Linked DNA regions of Sus scrofa. The protein of the gene in region 1 interacts with the protein of each later gene in a pairwise test. Links are inferred from orthologs where the notes say so. Each region holds a gene or a part of one and is shown in the gene's direction. Other genes may lie near its edges.

Region 1 (7,887 bases):
TGAGGATGCAGGTTTGACCCCTGGCTTCGCTCAATGGGTTAAGGATCTGGCATTGCCACAAGCTGTGGCATAGGTCACAGATTTGGCTTGGATCTGGTATTGCTGTGGCTGTGGTGTAGGCCAGCTGCTGCAGCTCCAATTCAACCCCTAGCCTGGGAATTTCTATATGCTGCAGGTGAGGTCCTAAAAAGACAAAAAAAAAGAAAAAGAAAAGAAAAGAAAATATCGAGCGATTAAAAGTTCCCTTTGACCACCCCCCAATCCTAGCCAATCTTGGCCCCTCCCTCCCTTTTCCAGGGCTAGCCATCCTTTGTTGGGTATGAATCCTTCCTTTTAAACCTTTTTCCTATACAGCGATGTGCATATGTATGTAATGAAATACATCGTACCGCAGTGGTTTATTTTCCTTATTTTAGCTTCAGAACACTATTTGGGATTCATGCTATGGCTGGTCCAGGTCTTCTAAAAGAGCAACAACAACATCCACAACCAAAGTCTAAACTGAGGTTCTAGAGCAGTTTCCCTATGTCCCATAGAGGCATTTTGAGCCACCCTATTGCTCTTAGATCCAAGCTTAAATAGAAATGTATTTTGGAGGCTGTTGTTTGAGTTGAGAAGCATTTAGAACCAGGGCTGACCTCACTTTCCTTGTTTTCAACCTCTGTCTCAGTTTGTTCACAATCAGGATGAAACTGCTCAGTTATAGGCTCAATCCTGAGCCACCAAGGAAACACTGGTGGCTCTTGTGTCCTAAAGTGACTCTTTTGTTGTTGTTGTTGTTGTTTTGTTTTTTAGGGCCACATCTGAGGCATACGGAAGTTTCCAGACTACAGGAAAAATCAGAGCTGCACCTGCTGACCTATACCACAGCCACAGCAATGCTGGATCCAAGCTGCGTCTGCGAACTACACCACAGCTCATGGCAATGCTAGATCCTTAACCCACTGAGTGAGGCCAGGGATCAAACCCGTATCCTCATGGATACTAGTTGGGTTTGTAACCCGCTGAGCCACAACAGTTACTCTTAATGGCCGTCTTGATCCTGACTTCACCTACCACTGGAAAACGAAATGCAACCATGTGTTTAGCAAGGAGCTTGAGAACATCTCTCAAAGAATTGCTGACGCTTCCTTGATTTAAAGAACAATGAACAGGTGTGACCTGTTTAGAAACAAACCCAAGGCTCTACTTCCAGGAGACAACAAAGGTTCTTTGACAGTGGACCACAGTGTCTGAGTGTGTAGGGTGGAAGCCTGCCCAAAGAGTAAACACCCCCCTCCAACTAAGCCTTTCAGAAAACCATTATAAGCAGGTTTTTCCAAGCTTGGCTTTAATGACAGGCTCTCAGAAAGAAGCTCCTTTCTCAAGCAAGTCTTCCCTTCAAACTCACAGAGCCCATGGGCCACGAGCCTCCATGTAGGAAGTGTGTACACCCTGCAATTTTGTAGTGAAGGAGACATTAGCAATGGCCAGTGGCAATGTCCTTGCCTGCTTCACTAAAGTCATCTGACTTTCTGCTCCCCTGACATCACAGTGGATCTGACATTTCATAAAAGCACAGATATACCCTTATTCTTTGGCTTTTTGTGATGTTGAGTTTGCCAGGCAAGTAAGTTCTGGCTCCCTACCTGTTTGGGTGGGCAGGAAAACTTACTAGCTCATAAATCCTTGGACAGAGTGTGTCCATTAACAGGGGTTACACTCACATCTTTTTTTCTTTTTCTTTTTCCCGCTACCCCTGGAGTATATGGAAGTTCCTGGGCTAGGGGTTGAATCAGCACTGCAGCTAGGTCCCTAACACCACCAGCCACAGGCAAGGTGGGAGCCGAGATGCATCTGCAACCTATGGTTGCCTGCAGCAAGGCTGGAACCATACTCATTGATCGAGGCCAGGGATTGAAACTATCTCCTCACAGTGACACTGTCAGGTCCTTAACCCACTGAGCCACAATGGGAACTCCACACACTCACATCTTCTTGAGAAGGCTGTACCCACCCACTGATCTGTGGATTTTCCATGCGTCCTGGCTATTCAGGGAGGATCACCTAACCCATCGAAAAGCACGTAGCTTGGCCCAGTGGGGGCCACAGCCTTTGGACCAAGAATCCACGCATGGAGCTGCAGCTGGCTCCTCTCTTTATCCTTTTGTGTTTATGTGAGTATATGTTGTAGTTCCCTGTTCTGGGGAAATCTTCAGGTGGATTCAATTCCCAAGGTCACCCACGGGGGCAAAGCGCTTCCAGTGTATACAGGAGTTTGAGTGAGTCTTGAAACTGGTCCCGGGTCACTGAATACCAGCTTCTAAAGGTGACTTCAGACAGTGGCAATACCCCTAACTTCCCTTCCAAGCAGTTAGTTTGCCTGGGCAGAGGAGGGAGGGAGAAAAGCACTCTTGTCACCAGGCGGCTGACGTTGGGGAGCTTGTGATCTCTCCGGGCTGCTAAGTTAAAAGGGGTGAGGGCTCCTCCATTTCACGACCCTAAGGTTTTCCGGGAGTGAGGTTTTGTGACGGAGCCCGGGTGCCGGGGCCATAGCTGGGGCCGCGCAGGGCGGGCGGGCCGGCCTGGGGCGGAGCGGGCGGCGCTGCGCTTACTGCCGCGGCGGACAGGGGGCGGCCGCGCCCACTTCCTCCTGCTCGGGGCCGGGGACCCGCGGCAGCAAGCGGCGCTTCCAGAGCGCACCGGGCGGTGGCCAGACGGCCCCGGCCCAGCCTGCGAACGCCACTCCTGCGCTCCGAAGTCCGCCGTTCGCTTCGCTCTCCGGCCACCCGCATGGACGCGGCGCCGAAGCGGAGCCGGCCGGAGGAGGCGGCCGAGCTCCCGCCGCCAGCCCGGGACTCGGAGGAGGAGGAGGAGGAGGAGGGGATGGAGCCAGGGCTGGAGGAGGAGGAAGAAGTGGACCCCCGGATACAGGTAGGGCGCGTGGATCCCGGCAATGGCACTGAGCCCGCCTCGCGGTCCCCGGTGCTTGCACCCGGGAGAGGTGGCCGCGTAGGTCCGGGGCTGGAGGAGACAGTCAGAGTACCCGGCTTCACCCGGTTCCTGGGAGGCTGCGGTGCCCGCGTGGACGCGGCCTGACTCTATCGCGGGGATTACCCCGCAGGATCCGTGGGGTCGCCGCAGCGTGTCCGGCGGCTCGGGAGGGTGTGCAACAAAGAGAAAAGGGGGCGGGGGCGCCACGCCGGGCTCCCGGAGCCCGAGGGCCGCGTGGGCGCGGGCCGGGGGCGGTGGGCGTCGCCGCCCCTGCAGCAGGGTGGCCTCTCATGCTTGGGGTTCGGAGCACTCACCTGGCGGAGGTGCCCGGCCTGAGCCTGCCTGAGCCTTCTCCCTCTTGCTTTGATTCGTTGTTAGCAGGACGAAGGGTTTATTGTCACCACGGCTCAGCCCTCCGCTTGGCCTCAAATGGTTTAAAACCCAGCGTTTCCTCCTTTTGAGGTCGGCAGTGAACAGAAATTGGGGGCTAACAGCGCAAAGCTAACGTGGCGAGAAGGCGAGGGGATTGGCCTGGCTTCCTTGCCTCCATTTCTCTGGGAGATGATTAAAAGACAGTTTCCAAGCCGAGATCTAGCAGCGACAGCTTAACCTCTTCACCCTCTGGGGAAAAAGCACAGCATATTCCGTTCCAAGACTCTTTCCATAAATCATTTTTTAAAATAAATATTGTTTTGCAGCACGCGATGCGATTTCTGAAGACCTAATTGGTTTTTCAGTGCGCAGATCAATTAAAAGCTCATTTAACTCAGCTGTTGGCGTTTAAATGAATTGTTACGGCAGGTTAGCAAGACAAAGATCAGGTGGAAAAATCTTTACATTAGGAATTCTAAATAAAATCAGTTTGAACTACTAAATTTTGTTTTCTGGGTAGGGGAATTCTGTTGACAAGATCCTTTGTTTGCAGAGTAAAATGAGTTAACTTCATACTGGGCACTTTTTTTTTTTTTAAACAAAATGTCAGTTTGTAAATGTTATTTAAAGATCAATGTTTATGTTAGTTTTAGTTTGTTTTGTAAACAGCTAGGAAGGTTGAATAATTGGCAGTTTGAAAAGATTTTCGTCTCTAAAGAAAAATACTCAACCATGGATGAGTAAGTGCCAGAATTCTGCCTTGATATAAATCATTTCACTGGGTTTTTACTTTTGGCATGGTTTTGTTTGCTTGCTCTTACTGGTTTGGGTTTTTTTTTTTTTTTTTTCTTTTTCCTGCAAGTTTTTGCTCTAAAGCAGAGGGTTATTGTTTGGATTCAGCCCTTAAATCATTGTAACAGGTGAGTTTACCTGAAGGCACATACCTGGAATAAAATATTTGACCTTCTAAGAAAAGAAAATTCCTCGGACCTTAGTCATTTTCAGAAGGGCTACCACCCAGATAAAGGTTTCAGAAATGCTGACATTTCATTTGTTCTTTAGCCAAGGCTCAACTGTTTTCCTTGAAAATTAATACTGACTGGTTCCTCTTCCTGCAAATGATGCTGGAGTAATTTTGCAGGTTGGGAGGGGGGCAGAGTCATACCAGAACAAAAGACAATCCCTGAAAGCTTTTTCTCTCCCTTTTCTTCATCAGGGAGAACTGGAGAAGTTAAATCAATCCACGGATGATATCAACAGACGGGAGACTGAACTTGAGGTACAGAAAGCTGGGTGCTTGTTTTTGGGGAAGTGGCGTTGTCTCTCTGACACCAGGCTGGTTCATTTTGTTTTAAGAGGTGGTTGCTGGCATTCACTTTCGCAGTTGAGCAACAGCCTGCGTCTGACAGAATAAATACACCACTGAGTCCAGCTTGTGGGTGGAACACATGTGGATCCAATTTCATATATATTTTTTTAATCATGGAACCTCCATGGGGCCAAAAGCAAGGGCTTTACACAGACTTAAGCCCTGAAGTTAATGTGTCTGTGGAAAAGTTAAAAGGACTGAAGGGGAAATTGGCTGTGTACTTCAATGGACAGGAGTGAATGAGGTCACACAAATCTCTTAAGCATTTTAAGGGAGCTCCTTACATTGGTGCTTGGAAATAGTGTGTGTTTCCTTAGGAAGATTTAGATCTTTATTGACTTTCTGGGCTGAGAACCCTTCCCTCCCCCCACACCCCTACCCCGCTTCTACCCCTTTATTTATCGACTGCTTGTGCGTGGAATATAATCATCTCAATGGTAATGAAAGGCTGTTTTTATTTATTTATTGTCTTTTTGCCATTTCTTGGGCCGCTCCCGCGGCATATGGAGGTTCCCAGGCTAGGGGTCGAATTGGAGCTGTAGCTGCCAGCCTACGCCAGAGCCACAGCAACGCAGGATCCGAGCCATGTCTGCAACCTACACCACAGCTCACGGCCACGCCAGACCCTTAACCCACTGAGCAAGGCCAGGGATCAAACCCACAACCTCATGGTTCCTAGTTCGATTCGTTAACCTCTGAGCCACGATGGGAACTCCATGAAAAGCTGTTCAGACTGGGAAGGGCTTTCCTGCTCAGAAAAATCTTGGGAGACAGGACCTCAATTTGAATTTCATGAGTATCTTCCAACCTGAGTGTAAAGAGATGAACATTCTTCACAGGTCCTAGTTTGTCCCCATCGTTTTCAGCAGCAGTTGGTTTTACCAACCATCAGCCAACTTGAACAACCCCCACTTCTGTCTGAGAACTGCTGTGGGAGGACCTGTTTTTGTAGCAGGGAGAATGCAGGGAAGGTCAGTGGAAAAGGCAGGACACCGCTGGTCCCTGTGAGTCAGGAGTGGGAGATAGGAATGCCATCTCCTCCGCAACACAGGAGCAACCTTGATTTCTGCCTGCATGTCCAGGCTCTGGAGATACAGAACCTAGAGTGGCCCTGGAGGGTTGAAGTGGGTTTTCTGAGCTGTGCACGAAGGGGTCTTGCCAGCCGCTCTGTTCTGACGAGAGGTATCTGTGAACACTGGCTACTCTTCTTCCCCAAGTGAAGTCAAATCTGCAGGTTTCAATTTTTTTCATGTGTGGTGAATGAAGTCTCTTGGGAAATTGAAATCTCTCAGAATCACAGTTTTTTTTTTTAAAGAAAATTTGTAATTTTATTTACTTCATTTTTTATTTTTTAACTAAAAATTTAAAAATTTGTTGAAGTATAGTTGATATATAGTGTTGTTAATTTCTGCTCTACAGCAAAGTGATTCGGTTGTACCTATATAAAAAATTAGTTTTCATATTCTTTTTCACTTTGGTTTACTACAGGATACTGATTTTTAGTTCCCTGTACTCTACAGTAGGACCTTGTTGTCTGTCCATTCTATACATAATAGTTTGCATCTGCTAATCCCAAACTCCCTATCCATCCCTTCCCCTTCCACTTTGGCGACCACAGGTGTGTTCTTTATGTCTGTGGGTCTATTTCTGGGTTTTTTTTGCCATTTTGGTTTTGTATATAAATTCACTTGTATCATTTTTTTATAGATTCCACATATAAGTGATAGCATATGGCATTTGTTTTGTCTGGCTTACTTCACTTAGTATGGTAATCTCTAGGTCCAACCGTGTTGCTGCACATGGCGCTATTTCATTCTTTTCATGGCTGAGTAGTATTCCATAATGTACCACATCTTTATCTGTTCTTCTGCTGATAAATAGTTAGGTTGCTACCATGTCTTGGCTGTTGTGAATAGTGCTGGTATAAACATTGGTGGTGCATGTGTCTTTCCAGATTATGGTTTTCTCTGGATACATGCCCAGGACTGGGATTGCTGGATCACAGCAGCTCTGTTTTTAGTTTTTTTAGGGATGTCCATACTGAGAATATCAGGTTCATAATACATTCAGCCCGTACCTTTTCTATCAAGATTTGGTGTTTCCAAAGTGTTTTCACCAGCTTCATCTCTTTCTAGCCTGTCACAGCAGCCTAGACCTGTGCTGCCCAGGATGGCGGCCAGTTGCCACACATGACTTTTGAATTTGCGTTAATTACAATTAAATCAGACTTCAAAAAAATTCAGTTCTTCAGTCACAGTAGCCACATTTCAAGGGCTCTCTAGGCACTGTGTTGGACAGATCAGAGAGGACTTCCATCATTGTAGAAAGTTTTGCTGGATGTCAGAGGCCTGGCAGGCAGGGAGGCAGGGCCCACCTCTTCTCACAGAGGCTCAGTGTTTTCACAGCTCAGTGCCACAGGAGAGCCCCCTCATTTTCCACATCCCCACCAGCCCTCATATTCTGCCATCTCAAATATGAACAGACAAGTTAGAAATTTTCTTTCTTTCTTTCTTTCTTTTTTTTTTTTTTGAAAGATACTGCTTTATTCATTCAACCCTTGTTTGTAGGCCTGATTGATGCTGGCCCTGTTCTGGTAGCACTTCTCTCCTGATGGCATGGTTGTTTCATCTCTTAACTCTTTTTTATGTTTGTTTGTTTGTTTTTGTCTTTTTGTCGTTTTTTAGGGCTGCACCCGCAGCATATGGAGGTTCCCAGGCTAGGGGTCTATCAGAACTGTAGCCACCGGCCTGCACCACAGCTCACGGCAACACCGGATCTATAGCCTACTGATTGAGGCTAGGGATCAAACCTGTGACCTCATGGTTCCTAGTTGGACTCGTTTCCACTGCACCACGACCGGAACTCCTCTGAACTCTTTTTAGCCCTGATTTCCGAATCCCCTTTCTGAACACTCTTAGTTATTTGTGTGTCACGGGAAGCCACTGGACAGGTGTTTCCTGCCTGGCACTGGAAAGCATGTGGCAGGCGCCAGGAGAGGTGGTCAGGGCTGCCCCGTGTTGCTGGCTGCCCTTTCCATGGCATGGTTTGTCACCAAGGTGGATTCAGGAAAATATGGCCACTCTGTGCGTCATTACAACTTCTCTAGGCGCCTCATTAAAAAGTAGCAAGAAACAGCTGAAGTTAATTCTGATTTCCTTCCTTTCACTCAGAAT
Region 2 (7,100 bases), on another chromosome or scaffold:
TTTCCTCCATCCCACACACCATTACACCAAACGGCTAAGGTCTAGCCATACCACACAGCATTTCTGAGTATGCCTTCCAAGCTTCACCAGAGACTAGTGCCTTCAAACACATGGCTGCTCCACTTAAAATGCCCCTCTATCTTATTCCACTTATTAAACTTATATTCATTTTTTGATACTTACTTTAAGCATATTTTAATCCGTGATGCTTTTTCTACTCCCAGTAGCTCAAGACAGAGCTCTCATAGCATCTTATCCATTGGTACTGATTAGTATAGCACTTACCAGATGGTGCTGTAGTAGTAACCCATATTCAAAGCTCTTGAACTTCTTGAGGTCAGGAACTGTGTGTCTTACTCATATTTATATCTATAGTACTTAGCATACAGCAGAGACTCAGTACATGTGTACTGAGTGAATGAATTCATATATTCACGCTCTTTTTTCCCCCAAAGCATCACAGTCAGTATTTTAGAAGAAAAGGCAGAGATAAGAGAATAGGGCACAAATAGAAACAGCATCAGCAATCACAACCATAGCTAATTAAGCATCTACTTTTGTCAGGCCCTATTCTAAGCTAGTACATAAATCTACTCATTTATTTCTCACAGCAACCCTGCCATTCCATTTTACAGATGAGCAAACCAAAGCACAGAGAAGCTAAACAATTTACACAGCATCACAAAAGTGGAAAACAGCAGAGCCGGCTTCAGAACCTTTATGCTAGAACAGAAAGGAACTAAAATGCTCCTGGTACCAGAAAGCTGTGTAAAGAACTAAAGTGCCTGTTGTTTTATTCATTCTCCTCCCCATCAGTGCACATCCTGCAATGATAGGGAAACAGGAGCTCCCTTACAGGTTGCCATAATTTTCAAAGTACTGAAGACCAGAATATACGTAAATTCTATGCAGTCCTGTGTTTGATAGGCTTGCAACATCCTTCCACATTTTCATGAGTAAGCCTATCCAAACAGTACAGCCTCTGAATTACAAATCCTAATAACCTCTTGCAGAGGTTGCCTCAAGAGCTGAGTAAGCAGAAAATACAATCCTCTGAACTTACTATTTTCTTCTTTTGTCAAAAATATGTGTCATTAGTGATGGGTTATTCTTAAAGTGCTTTTACAAAACCATGACTTATGTCAAATAACATATGGTTTGGGGAGGGAGGATGGAAAATAGATTATTCCTCCTAAAAGTCTATTAATTTTGTTAAAATTGGCCTCCCCTTTTCTTAGGTATTTATAAAACATGTCATAGAAGTATTTAATACATACATATATTTTTTTGATACTTAAAAAAATTTACTTAGCTTGTTGTTTGTTCCTTAATTCTTTGGTTATAGTAATTGAGATGGTACAGTGTAATAATATGCCTATAATTACTGAGAAAGAAGAAAACTAGCCTTTTCCTTTTTTATCCTTGAAATAATTTCATTATATCTTCTAGGAATTTATCTAACTAATATCTTGAAAACAGAAGAAGGCAACCCTGAGGTCCTAAAAAGGCATGGAAAAGAGCTTATAAACTTTAGCAAAAGGAGGAAAGTGGCAGAAATAACAGGCGAGATCCAGCAGTACCAAAATCAGCCTTATTGTTTACGAGTAGAATCAGATATCAAAGTAAGTTGAATTATTTGAGGATACATTTTTATTTTTATTTTTTTGTCTTTCGTCTTTTGTCTTTTTAGGGCCCCACCTGCGGCATATGGAGGTGCCTGGGCTAGGGGTCCAATCAGAGCCGAAGCTGCCAGCCTATGCCACAGCATTGCTGGATCGAAGCTGAGTCTGCGACCTACACCACAGCTCACGGCAATGCCGGATCCTTAACCTACTGAGTGAGGCCAGGGATCGAACCCGTTTCCTCATAGATGCTAGTCAGGTTTGCTAACCACTGAGCCATGATGGGAGCTCCAAGGATACATATTTCTGATTAAGTTTATAAATACCTGATAAGAGGCAGGTTTATTTCATAGAAGAGAAAAAGGAAAACAAAACTTAAATAATTCCATCTTAAATTGTTTTCATGAGTTTCAAACTGAATTTAAAGTATTTAATGTTAAGAGTTGTTTATTTCTTTGCATTTTAGAGGTTCTTTGAAAACTTGAATCCAATGGGAAGTAGCATGGAAAAAGAATTTACAGATTATCTTTTCAACAAATCCCTAGAAATAGAACCACGAAACCCTAAACCTCTCCCAAGATTTGTAAGCATTCATATATTTATTTTTCTTTCACATTTGTGTATTTTTTTGCAGTTGTCATGTATATCTGGCGGTTTATAGTTTTCTGTAAAAGCATTCAGAGATGAAGTACACATGTAATGGATAAAAATAGTGAATAAGTGCTTAATAAAAATGCTCAGGATTATTCCACTTAGTTCCAAGTAAATGGACACTAATATTAATGTGAATAAATCCTAATATAATAGATGAAGAAGTTGCACAAACATGCAAGATTTTTTTTAACCCCCCACCCCAAAATGTTCAAGATTTTAAGAGCAGAAAATTTGGTTAATTTATATTAATTCACTTATAATAAATATATATACTTAAGACTTTTTTTTAAATAATGGCTTATGAGAACTTTTAACCATGAATCATTAGCTGTAAAAATAACAGGTTTGGCTAAAGATACTTTGGGGAGGGAAATAAAGTTTCCATTGTTTATTACTTATAAGTGTCTGGCCAAATTTATGTACAGTATTAGCATCTCACAGTTCTGAATAGAATCTCTGTTATTCATAAGAAAGTCAGTAATCAAGAACTAAACATAAATGGCTTCTAAGTAACCAAGAAAATTTTCATAATGTCTGTGATCTAAAGCTTATGAAATTACCTCACAAGAAAATTTCTCAAGGCCTAAACAGTTTTTTAAAAGGTGGATTAAAAACAGCAAATTGGAAATAAAGCCAGAGAAATAGACAACATATCTTAGAAAGCTTTCCATCTAAAAATATCAAAATAACAAATACTCTGATATTTATAGGGCTAAGACTCAGTTATTTAAAGAAATTAATTACCTAATAATTTAGATAGCCAAGGCTTTGTGAAAATGGAATGCTAATGCTTTTAATTTGGATGCTTTGATTTGATTTATTATGTAACTTCTTTATTAGTGATTTGTGGTTTTCCTAGATATTTGTTGAATTTTACTAGGCATGAATAGAAAAACCTTTTCCATTATGGTGTTGTAAATACTTGTGTTTCTTTTGATATGTCTGCAGCCAAAAAAATACAACTATCCCCTAAAATCTCCTGGCGTTCGTCCATCAAACCCAAGACCAGGTACCATGAGACATCCCACACCTCTGCAGCAGGAGCCAAGGAAAATTAGTTATAGTAGGATCCCTGAAAGTGAAACAGAAAGTACAGCATCTGCACCAAATTCTCCAAGAACACCGTTAACACCTCCTCCTGCTTCTGGTGCTTCTAGTACCACAGATGTTTGCAGCGTATTTGATTCTGATCATTCAAGCCCTTTTCACTCAAGTAGGTGCTCAAGTTTTAAGTGCTTTAAAGTAATTGTTAGTATTAAATGCACTAGAGGTAAAAAGTCTGTATATACATTTTTTTTTGGTAAATTTGTAGATAAGTCAAAAATTATTGTAAAAATATAAAACAAATTTTAAACTTCAGCAACTTAGAGTTTTTTTTAAAAATCTGTTAGAAAAGCTTTCTTTAAATGTATTATACTTTAATAATAGACCTGGTGATGAAATTGATAATTGAAACTTCATTTGAGCATTTGTTTTCAGTTGATAAATTGTAAAGGCATCTCCAGCTTCCAGAGGAAACAAGGATAACACCTAAAACCTACATGAAATGTCAGTGATAGTTTAAATGCTGCCTCCAAAATTGTATTTGAATACTACTCAGTACGTGGTCCCTTTCCCACCAAACTCTGTAGTTTCTAACTGTGCAGTGTATCAAATTCAAACTCCTATTTAACTCTTTCTTAGTCTACATCATCTAGCAGATGGTATATAGTGCCTGCTAATACACTCCTATGCTTTCAAGCCCAACCATACAAATCTCACAGACTGCATACTATTGCTCATCGTTTTCCTATTTCTAGATCAGTGCTGTCCAATAGAAGTATAATGTGAGCCACATGTGTAACTTTAAATGTTCTATAGCTACATTTTAAAAAGCAAAAAGAATTCAGTTAAATTAATTTTAATAATATTTATTTAACCCAGTATATGCAAAAATGTTGTCGTTTCAACATGAAATCCTGAAATCCATATAAAAACTCATTGAGTTATTTTACATCTCCCTTTTTGTTCTAAATTTTCAAAATCCAGTATGCATTTTATACTTACAGCATGTCTCAATTTAGACTAGCCACATTCAAATGCTTAAAAACCACATATGGCTAACGGCTACCAAACTGTACAGCCCTTTGAAGAGGCTACTTTTTGTATCTAGAGCACCCTGCTTCCATTAATTTTTTTAATCATTTTTATATGGATCTTTAAAGCTCTGCTAAGAACACACAACCTTTTTTCATTTATTCATTATTAAATCAAAACTTGAATCCAGTTGTCTTTATGAGGTTATGAAGGTTAACTCTCATAACCATTTCCACATGGTCTTCCCATTGGCTGTCTGTCTAGCTCAGTGTACAGTTCAACTTCTGCTCTAGTGTTTGACATAATAAGATCCAGTACTGAGAGGCAGCATGACGTCATTATTGGAGGGGAGCTTGAAAATCACTGATGTAGGAGTTTAGGAATCCTAGTTTGTCATCTCAGTCTGCCAGTGAACTTTCTCATTTTAGATAAAAAAACTTTTTCTGCGCCCTCTAGATCAAACTAGATCTCTCCTTTTTCCTTTTTTTTTTTTTTCCTTTTTTTTTCTTTTTTTCTTTTTACAGCTGCACCTGCAGCATATGGAAGTTCCCACACCAGGGGTCAAATTGGAGCTACATCTGCTGCCTAGGTCACAGCCATGGCAACACCAGATCCAGGCTGCATCTGCACCCTACACCACAGGTTGCGGCAACACCAAATCCTTAACCCACTGAGCGAGGGATCCAACCTACATCCTCACAGAGACAACTTTGAGTCCTTAACTCACTGAGCCACAACAGAAATTCCCAAACTAGATTTTTAAGGTTTCTTCCAACTCAGAGAATCTAACTTTTTCTTTTTTTTTTTAGGGCCGCACCCACGGTATACGGAGGTTCCCAGGCTAGAGGTCTAATCAGAGCTGTAGCCACCAGCCTACACCACAGCCACAGTAATGCTGGATCCTTACCCCACTGAGTGAGGCCAGGGATCGAACCTGCAACCTCATGGCTCCCAGTCAGATTCGTTTCCACTGTGTCATGACAGGAACCCCCAAGAATCTAACTTTTTAAAAAAGTATTCTTTGGAGGAGTTCCTGTCATGGCTCAGTATTAATGTCATGGCTAGTATCCATGAGAATGCAGGTTTGATCCCTGGCCTCGCTCAGACAGGGTTAAGCATCCAGCATTGCTATGAGCTGCAGACCCAGCTCAGATCTGGTGTTGCTGTGGCTGTGGTATAGGTTGGCAGCTTCAGCTCTGATTGGACTCCTAGCCTGGGAATGTCCATATTGCCATGGGTGCAGCTAAAAAGACCAAAAAAAAAAGTATTCTTTGGAGGTATGTTATTTTGAGATTTGATCCGGAATATATAAATCCTATTTATTTATTCCTGTGCTGTACATATATTTGTAGTTACAAAGCAGTCTGTTTAACTTTTTACCATCTAAAGTGTATTTATTTTGAGAATTACTGTATCTTGGCTTTGTTTGGCTACAGGAGGATTATGGAGTCATGCATATAGTAGACTATCGGATGTTTTTTATAAGTTCAAATATAATAGGTAAAAAAATTCCTATCTATTTTTCCCAACTTGTCAACATCCTATATTAAAAAAATAAAACCAGCATTTTTTGAAGTATAACTGACTTAAAGTCATTATTTATTCTGACCCATATAACTGTTTGCAGTGTTTTTTCCTAGAGCAGATGGCTGTGATCTATAATATAAAGATTCTCACATAAATGAATTATAGAAATCACCAGAAGCCATCAATTACAAATTCTATTTCTCTTAGTTTAAGTAGCTAAAAGTGGAAGAGGTGGAAAAACAGGAGAAAAGCTTATTACATTCCCTACTAGTGATAAATCTTTAAATAATTAAACAGGGAAAAGGGAATCATTTTGGAATGCAGTGCTCTAGATCAGTGCTTTTGTCATATGTGGCATCGGAATAACATTATGATAGCTGGACAAGAGAAGAAACCATCATACCAGGAGTTAGGCTTTGTAATCTTAACCCTGAGGACTTTCTCAATTTCTCTTTCTTTGTGTTAAAGAAAACCCCTATCACTCCTCCTTTGTTCTCAGTAAAAATAGAAAATAGCTGATTTTGAAATTAAGTAAGCCAGCATAATATAAAACCATGTGTATGTTCAGTTATTCTGTACTTAAAACTCATCAGTGCCCTGTGTATCTTAGAGGTCCTCATTTGTTTTTGACCCCACTCTGCTTAACAAATCTGCTAGTGTTAAGGGGGTGGGGGTCACTAGCATGCCCAGCTTGGTGGTCATTGTGTTGCACTAGACTGAATACCTACTTCCTTGTTTCCTTCAGGGCCTGGCAGGAAAGAGCTGCTGTGCATTAAGTCATCTGAACATGTTTTACTCAATAAAAAGCCCAGAAACCTCCATTGCTTAAGTCTTTCAAAAGGCAAAATCAACTAGAATTTTTAATGTTATAATAGTACTTTATTGCTTCTTAGATTTTTTTTCAAAATAATTTTAAAACAAAAATTTTTTCTGTCCAAATCTGTTGCACATCTCATTTCTTGTAATCTTTTTTTTTTTTTTTTTTTTTTTTTGGCCACGGCATGCAACAGCTTGATGTGGTATCTCAGTTTCCAGACCAGGGATCGAGCCCAGGCTGCAGCAGAAAAAGCATTGAGTCCTAACTACTAGACTGTCAGGGCATTCCCGACATATCTCTTTTCTTGCTAAGCGCTTAACACTTCTTCTGTGGTAAGGCTTACAATCAAACTGAGAGATAAGAAGTAAACAGTACAGGAGTTCCCATCGTGGCACAGTGGTTAA
Region 3 (7,899 bases), on another chromosome or scaffold:
AATTACTGTAACTTTCCTGCCTTGCAATAGTTGCTTTGCTTTTCTAATAAAATTTCCTCTGATACAATGAGGTTAGCATGATTGCAGCTGGTGAAATTGTTGCCCCCTGCCCCCATAGCTTTACAAGAAAAGATTCTTCTGAGTTTCTGGATGAAACTTCAGTTAAACACTCTTTCGGCTGAGTGGTAATACCATCATAGAGAAATCTGGGCCTTTTGCACCATCGGCATTTCTGACATAAGGATATTATCTTCTTCTAAGCCCCAGCTGAGGAAATAGCACTGCCTCCACCAAATTATAGCTTTAGCTTGTGCTGTGGTTGCAGAAGAGGCATGGCATAGAGCACTGAAGAATAAGTGGACTTGTAAATTGGAGACACTACCAGTGAACCTGAATTTGGAGCAGATCATTGGGAAGCATGTGGATGGAATAACCACATCGAGTCTAGATGAAATATGGAGACTGTGTAACTTACAAAGTGTGTCCCATGGGGAGAAAAACAAACATCACAACATAGCCCAGAAGATGAGCACCCTTTGAGTTGGTCACTCCATTTTCAGTGTCAGCAATATGGCTTAAGAGAGTATTATGGGCTCATGTTTTTATATCACTTGGACATGATTTCTCTGAAAACATTTTTGAAAATAGTAAGATGCTACACAAATATGATGGTCAACAATATAATTCTTGGAGAAAGGGCCTGTAAGGAATCTCGAATTTTCTGATGAGGAAATAATTAAACCTGATTTTTCTTTGCTTAAGATTCCAGTTACATACAAAAGAGTGAATATTTATCTTTGTCACTGTCTTTTTTATAAAGGAAGTTGTGAGGCGAGAGCTATCAACAATGGCTATCAACACTTTATGCATAGTACATAAGATCATGAAACTAACAATCAAGATGTGCTTACAAAACACCTAGGTCTTTTATTCCTCATGGCAATGGTACAATAAAATCAGAATTTTAGAATGACAGATCTAAAACACAGCTACCAAGATTAGCCAACTAGGAATTATCAGAGATGTGATTCAAGCCCAGGTTTGTTTTATTATACGCTTTGCTCTTTTCATGAGGGTACAGTGCATCCCTCACGGAATTGTGTTTAGCTATAAAAGATTAGGTAATGATATCTGGTCTTTCATGTTTAGAGCTCAACATTAGTCCATATAAACGCAAACATTATAAATACTTAATGTTAAGTACTTTTACTAATTTTCAGTGGTGGAGGGAGAAGCAATTTCCAATTTATTGAATGCATTTTCAGACATAGTTTACCAGTAGAATAGTTTTAGGCAATTCAGCTTTTTTTATCTCTATCCCTCCAAAACTTTTGAATTTATTTGGTACTGATAAAAAGATGTAATAGATCCATTTTGAATTAGGACGAACATTACTGCTTCTTGTGATCTATGAGTAACTGGCCATCAGGATGCTAGGTGAGATAATTCTTTATGCCTCCCACTCAGGGAGAAGGTCATAGATGGGGGGCACAAGGTGAGTGAGTTGTGGACATGTAATGCATCATGTTGATTCACCCATACTCCTCAGTGCTACCTCGTGTTGTGCATTAATGTTCAAAACCAGGAAAATGTATGTTGTGGACAGATTTTAGTCACACTGATAGAGTTTTCCTATCCAGCCACACATTTGTCAATATGTGAACAATGGCCCAAATTTATAAAACAAATGGATAATTTTAATTAAATGACAATAAATGTCCACCAATAATATTATGTTCCTGATTTGTTGTATTTAGATGGTAGTGTTAAATAAATTTACCTATTAATTTAGATGGGAATATTAGCATCACACTAATTACATTTAATAATGAATATGTCAAACGACAATTTATCACATAGTTTAGTATTCTCCCAATCAAAATTTCTACTTGACTCATTTAAAATGAGCTTTCCTTAAGACACAATCTCCATCTGTGTCTACTCTCTTGGAATAATGCTGTTTGTCTAAACTTCCATAATGCCTACTTTCCTATTAAACAGAAGGCAGGAAATGGAGACCTTACGAGATTATGCCATTCATTGATCCATCTCTTCTGATGGTAGACAAAAAAATAAGTATAGGCAGAGGAAAAAAAGAAAAAGTAGTTGTTGAAGGATGGCTTCTGAAGGTGAGTGATGGATGGAGAAGTCAGGTTTTTTCTTAGTTTGGAAGGGAGAGAGAAGAGGGATGACAGGAATAGAGAAGGTCAGCCAAAATGAATTAAAAAAAAAAAACATATTTGTAATTATCTGAGTCAAGCTTAAGGTGAGAAACAAAACTACAGAGAGAACTGAAAAACCCGTAATTGTAATAGTTAACATTTATTGAACTATCAATTCCCCTTTGCAGCGGGGAACCTGAGACACAGAGGGGTTAATTTAAATAGCTTGCCCAAATTTACACAGCTCCTTCTGGTAGTCTGAATTCCAATCCTGGCAATGTGAACCACCATTTGCAAATGGGGCGTTAAGGAAGTACATAAAGTACGAAATCTTATGGAGAGGGGGTATAGAGACCAAGGGAATAACTGGAGGGTGGGGGTGGGGGTGGGGAGAGACTGCATTTAAAAAAAATTTACCAGTGGGCTAATTATAGTTGTGCTTTATTAAGGGACAGAGCACTTTATATATGTTAGCTCACTTAATCCTGCTAACAATTCTAGATACGAGTCCCTTTTTCAGACGAGGACACTTGATAGATGAGAAACGACACATACGCACCTTGCAAAGTTCCACCTCAGTACCAGGCTCTTGAGCAAGACAAAGAAGACCAAAGGAGACTTGGCAACAGGAGGGAACGGAGCAAAATAAGTAGGCTGAACGTGAGAAATGCAGGAAAAATTTCCCATTTTTAGGCCCAGGCCGGTTCCAACTTTCAAACTTTTCCAGCCGGCCCGCCAAGGAGTCACAAGGCCCCCCCTGCCCCCCGGCAGTCACAAGCCACGCCCCTCCCGCGGCGGCGCTCGGAGCTCCCAAATACTTCCCTCCCGCTACTTGACCCCGCCCACTCTGCCTAGCATCATTTCCTGTGCGCTGGGTGCTAATTGGTCCAGAAGTCGGAAGTGAGGGCGGGCGGTGGGGCCGTTGCCGCAGTGACAGAGCTGGGGGAGTCTGAAGATGGCGGCGTCGCGTCGCTCTCAGCATCATCACCACCATCATCAACAACAGCTCCAGCCCGCCCCAGGGGCTTCGGCGCCGCCGCCGCCACCTCCCCCCCCACTCAGCCCAGGCCTGGCCCCGGGGACTACCCCAGCCTCCCCTACGGTGGGTGGCCTGGCACCCTTCGCCTCCCCGCGGCACGGCCTAGCGCTGCCGGAGGGGGATGGCAGTCGGGATCCGCCCGACAGGCCCCGATCCCCGGACCCGGTTGACAGTAGCAGCTGTTGCAGTACCACCAGCACAATCTGTACTGTCGCCGCCGCTCCAGTGGTCCCGGCGGTTTCCGCCTCATCTGCCGTCGGTGTCGCTCCCAATCCAGCCGGCGGTGGCAGTAACAATTCACCGTCGTCCTCTTCTTCCCCGACTTCTTCCTCTTCTTCCTCTCCATCCTCCCCCGGATCGAGTTTGGCGGAGAGCCCCGAGGCGGCCGGAGTTAGCACCACAGCAACATTGGGGCCTGGGACAGCCGGACCTGGGCCAGGGGTCTCAGCAGTGAGCGGGGCCCTCCGGGAACTGTTGGAGGCCTGTCGCAATGGGGACGTGTCCCGGGTAAAGAGGCTGGTGGACGCAGCAAACGTGAATGCTAAGGACATGGCCGGCCGGAAATCTTCTCCCCTGCACTTCGCTGCAGGTCAGAGACTTTTAAATTGCTTATTAAGGGCTTTGATGTTGGGACCGGGGAGTGGGTGGTAGGGGTGGTCCGGGTAGGGAAAGGAAACAAGTTATGATGGAACAGTGGAGGCGTGGTTATGGGTCATCAGCACCTCTTGGGAAGACTAGAGGTTCCTTTCTTTAGGTAGTGCCTGGGTGACGGGGGCGTGGTAGGGGTGTGTGTGAATCCATTCTTTTTAGTGTTTGCACAGTAATCCTTGTACCCATCCCCAAACTCCTTTAGTGGTAGTCTCAGGATATGGGTATACTTAAACTTTTTTTGTTCCAATTGTGTAGGAATAAAGTTAGATTTGAACAGTCTTAGAGTGGTTTTGTCATTTGTTTGCTAATTTATTTCGTTTTTACCAGAGTATGTCCCATGAGGACAGTTAGACCAAAAGAAGTTCAGTGTAACTCAGCAAGTATTTACCTCTTAGCCCCTGGGATACATAAATGAAGTTAGTGAAACTTTCCCTCCTTTTCAAGGAGTTTACAGTCTAATTGGGTAGCTCAAGACATGCCTATATGAAACAACCGAAAAAATATTTGGAAGCATTATATGATGGCAGAAGAAATATAGGCTTTGAATTTCTGGACACTGCTATTTGTAGTTGCCTAACGCAGTTTACCTTATCTCTGTTGCCTCTGTTTTCTCGTGGGCAAAAATGATATACTAAGGTTGTGTGGGGATTTAGTGAGAAGCATCTGGCAGGTAACTTCTCCCCCCAGAATGTTAATTCCTAAACCCTGGACCACTATACACTTTTGTGGGGGGTTTTGTTTTGTTTTGTTTTTTGAGCAAGTAGTTGACTAATTTTAAAACGCTTAATGTATCTTTATTAAATACAAAGAAATATGAAGCAAAAAGGATCTTAATCTCACTGCCTAGATACCTACTATTGATATTTTTTAAAGTAAAGGTAATAATATTGTGTACATTAGAAATATGTGTTGAACGTACATTATAAAATTCATATAATACAGAAATAGATAAAATGAAAAAGCAACACACACACACACACATCAAAGATAGTACACCGAAGCTTTTATTAAGTTTCTTGCTGTATTTCTAATATGTATCACTCTTTCGGTTTGTTCTGTTGATGGTAGGCATATGTTAAGAACTTACTAAATGTATTATTTATTTTTACCACAACTTGGAAAATATTTTTATTCCCATTTTACAGATGACAAAAATGAAGCACATACTGCTTAAATAAGCCTATGTTCACACAGAAATAGTGGGACCTGGATTTAAACTCAGACAGTTTGATGTTAGAGTTTGTGAAGGCTTGAACAGTATAATCTATATCTCCTTTAATGTCACTTTGCTTTTTTGAGCATAATTGTGATGAGTTTCTACTTTGGCAGTGTTTGGAGGGAAGAGATAATTGAGGTCATATGCTCTAAGGGTAGTGTTCACACCTTTTTTGTTGTTGTTGTTCTTTTGCAGCCCATACCTATTCCTAACAATGTATTTTACATTGTCACACACACAAACTGAATCAAAAGTTTCAGGAAACAATTCTTTCCCTTGCTACATGTGTTCTACTCTGATATTTTATATCCTATTCCATTTCCTTTCTTACAAACGCTGCTGTTTGTGATCCCATTAATGAGTCATGATCAGCAATATGAGAAACACTTACAGGAAATCATTATTAGATTGCTAGATCCATTCTTGAAATATAGACACTACTGTTAGGACTGTAGTGAACTAAATCATAAACAGGCTTCCATTTAAGTACATACATGCTCAGGGGTGTTGCTTATTTGAAATGAACTTACATATCTTTTCCTTTGGGCCAAATGAAATATCCATAATGAATCAAGTGGGACTGTTTGCTTTTGCAGACTTTATTCCAAATTTGACTATTTTAACACATTGTTTCACAAATCTTGTTTTTTCTTGCCATACTTTATTATGAGTAATCACTAACAGATGATAGTTATATTAATTTGTGTAATAATGTACTCATTTAGGGTTAGCCACACTTAAAATAGTGCTTGTCTTCAAATTCACCTCTTCTGTTTGCCACAATAGTTACTTTTTATTCTATTTTAGAGTTTTATGTGTAACCAGATAAGATACACAGATAAACAGTAAAACAGTCCTATAATTATGTTGTAGTTTTAAGACCCTAATCTTGAACTGGTTTTTTTAGGGGGAAAAAAATAATTTTTGTTAGTTCAGTGTGGAAAACAGAACAAAAACAGTAAAACTTCCCCTGGTATAAAAACCCTATAGTCAATTTACTGCTTTCATGTTTGTGTTTATAGCATTAAAGCTTTGTTAAATCTAGTCTTTTCTGTCCTGTGTAGGCTGGGTAGTTAAAAAGTAATTCTCTATTGACTATTAGTTGGTTAGAATGCTAGTCACTGAATGTCACGGATGAGCTGTTTTAAAGGTAGGAAATTGGTACAGTTTCTTGAATAGAAAAGTTTAAAAATTATAGTTCTTTTGTTCCACACGTCTATTATTATTTATAGGTCAGGTGTTAAATACTGAAGCAGTTTTGAAGTGGCAGATAGTCCTTACCCTTATGGAGCTTACAGTGTAATGGGGAAAACTAAGTAACAACAACAACAATAAAACACCACAGGCTATGTAACTTAGAGTGATGGGAGAAGTATACTGTACTGTCTTTTGGAGCAGGCAGTAGATTCTCTTGCCCTGGTTTTAGATAATTTAAAGAAGCCTTTCTAGATAAAGAGATTTTTTGTTTTTTAAAGCAGGTATTTAAAGAATGAGTCCAAGCTAGCCAAGCAAAATGGGAAGGAAAATATGTTAATTATTGCCTTTATTTCCATTTAAAGATGAGTATAGTTCTGTAGAATGAAATGAAACTGTTTTTATGTTTCATTGCAGTGGCATGAAGTCATATTTAAATCTTTATGCCTTAAAAAAAAATTAACACAAGAGTAACCGTAATTCTTTCCAGCAGAATTAAGACTCCTTTCTATCCTATTTTGGACCATGATAATTATTTGTTTAAAATATAGCTTAGAGGAGTTCCTATTGTGGCTCAGTGGAAATCAATCTGACTAGCATCCATGAGGACACAGGTTTGATCCCTGGCCCAACTCAGTGGGTTCAGGATCTGGCGTTGCTGTGAGTTGTGGTGTAGGTCTCAGACAAAGCTCAGATCTCTCATGGCTGTGGCCGTGGCCTAGGCCAGCTGCTGTAGCTCCAATTAGACCCCTAATCTGGGAACTTCCATATGCCACAGGTGTGGCCCTAAAAAGACAAAAAAATAAAATAAAATATAGCTCCAGTATTAATAATGGAATCACCCTGCCCACAGTTGGAAACACAATCTTCAGTTTTCACTGTTTTTTTGTTTTTTGTTTGTCTTTTTGCCTTTTCTAGGGCCGCTCCCGCAGCATGTGGAGGTCCCCAGGCTATGGGTCGAATAGGAGCTGTAGCCTCCGGCCTACACCAAAGCCACAGGATCCGAGTCGCAACCCACACCACAGCTTACGGGAACACCGGATCTTTAACCCACTGAGCGAGGCCAGGGATCAAACCCGCAACCTCATGGTTCCTAGTCAGATTCATTAACCACTGAGCCACAACGGGAACTCCCAGTTTTCACTGTTGATACAGAGACTCTTTAAGTACTATTTCAAATGCCTTCTTAAGATGGCCATATCAAAATTATCTGGTCGTTTATTGTTGACTAGAGCTTATATAAGACTTTTTCTTCTACAAATAAGATCATTGACTCTGGTTTCCCACTGCTCAAAGAACAGTAGTCAAAACTTTAGAAATAGCATCAATTTAGAGTGATGTATTCCCTTGGTTCAGGTCCTAGTAGCAACACGTTTTTGTTAAAAGGTCAGTATATTCTAATGAGGACTCTTTTTTAAAAGAAAAGTTCAGATGAAGTCTTTAACAAAGCATTGAATTCTGAAACTTCATAGTATTTACTTTAAATTGAAGAAATTCTGAAACAAGCTTCCTGGTAGTTAATTAATATGGCTTGGATTAGAATATATAATTTAAGTTACTTTAGTATCAAACCCAGCAAAATATGTACAGTGGTTTTATGCTTTCTTTTTATATGAGTGGTGTTTATATTAATACAC

What was found.
Region 2: the proteins of SH3BP5 (region 1) and SOS1 interact in a two-hybrid assay, tested with the Homo sapiens proteins (2 studies listed by BioGRID and IntAct). The link is inferred for Sus scrofa from reciprocal best matches to the Homo sapiens genes SH3BP5 and SOS1.
Region 3: the proteins of SH3BP5 (region 1) and TNKS interact in a two-hybrid assay, tested with the Homo sapiens proteins (2 studies listed by BioGRID and IntAct). The link is inferred for Sus scrofa from reciprocal best matches to the Homo sapiens genes SH3BP5 and TNKS.

Annotation. Positions count from the first base shown.
Region 1 is NC_010455.5:2,580,334-2,588,220, reverse strand, and holds the start of SH3BP5 (SH3 domain-binding protein 5), read left to right. Parts: upstream 1-2,619; 5' UTR 2,620-2,772; coding exon 2,773-2,913; intron 2,914-4,561; coding exon 4,562-4,624; intron 4,625-7,887. UniProt on the Homo sapiens protein: Functions as a guanine nucleotide exchange factor (GEF) with specificity for RAB11A and RAB25. Inhibits the auto- and transphosphorylation activity of BTK. Plays a negative regulatory role in BTK-related cytoplasmic signaling in B-cells.
Region 2 is NC_010445.4:101,347,425-101,354,524, forward strand, and holds part of SOS1 (son of sevenless homolog 1), read left to right. Parts: intron 1-1,449; coding exon 1,450-1,622; intron 1,623-2,088; coding exon 2,089-2,205; intron 2,206-3,224; coding exon 3,225-3,489; intron 3,490-7,100.
Region 3 is NC_010457.5:55,676,698-55,684,596, reverse strand, and holds the start of TNKS (tankyrase-1), read left to right. Parts: upstream 1-3,052; 5' UTR 3,053-3,117; coding exon 3,118-3,790; intron 3,791-7,899.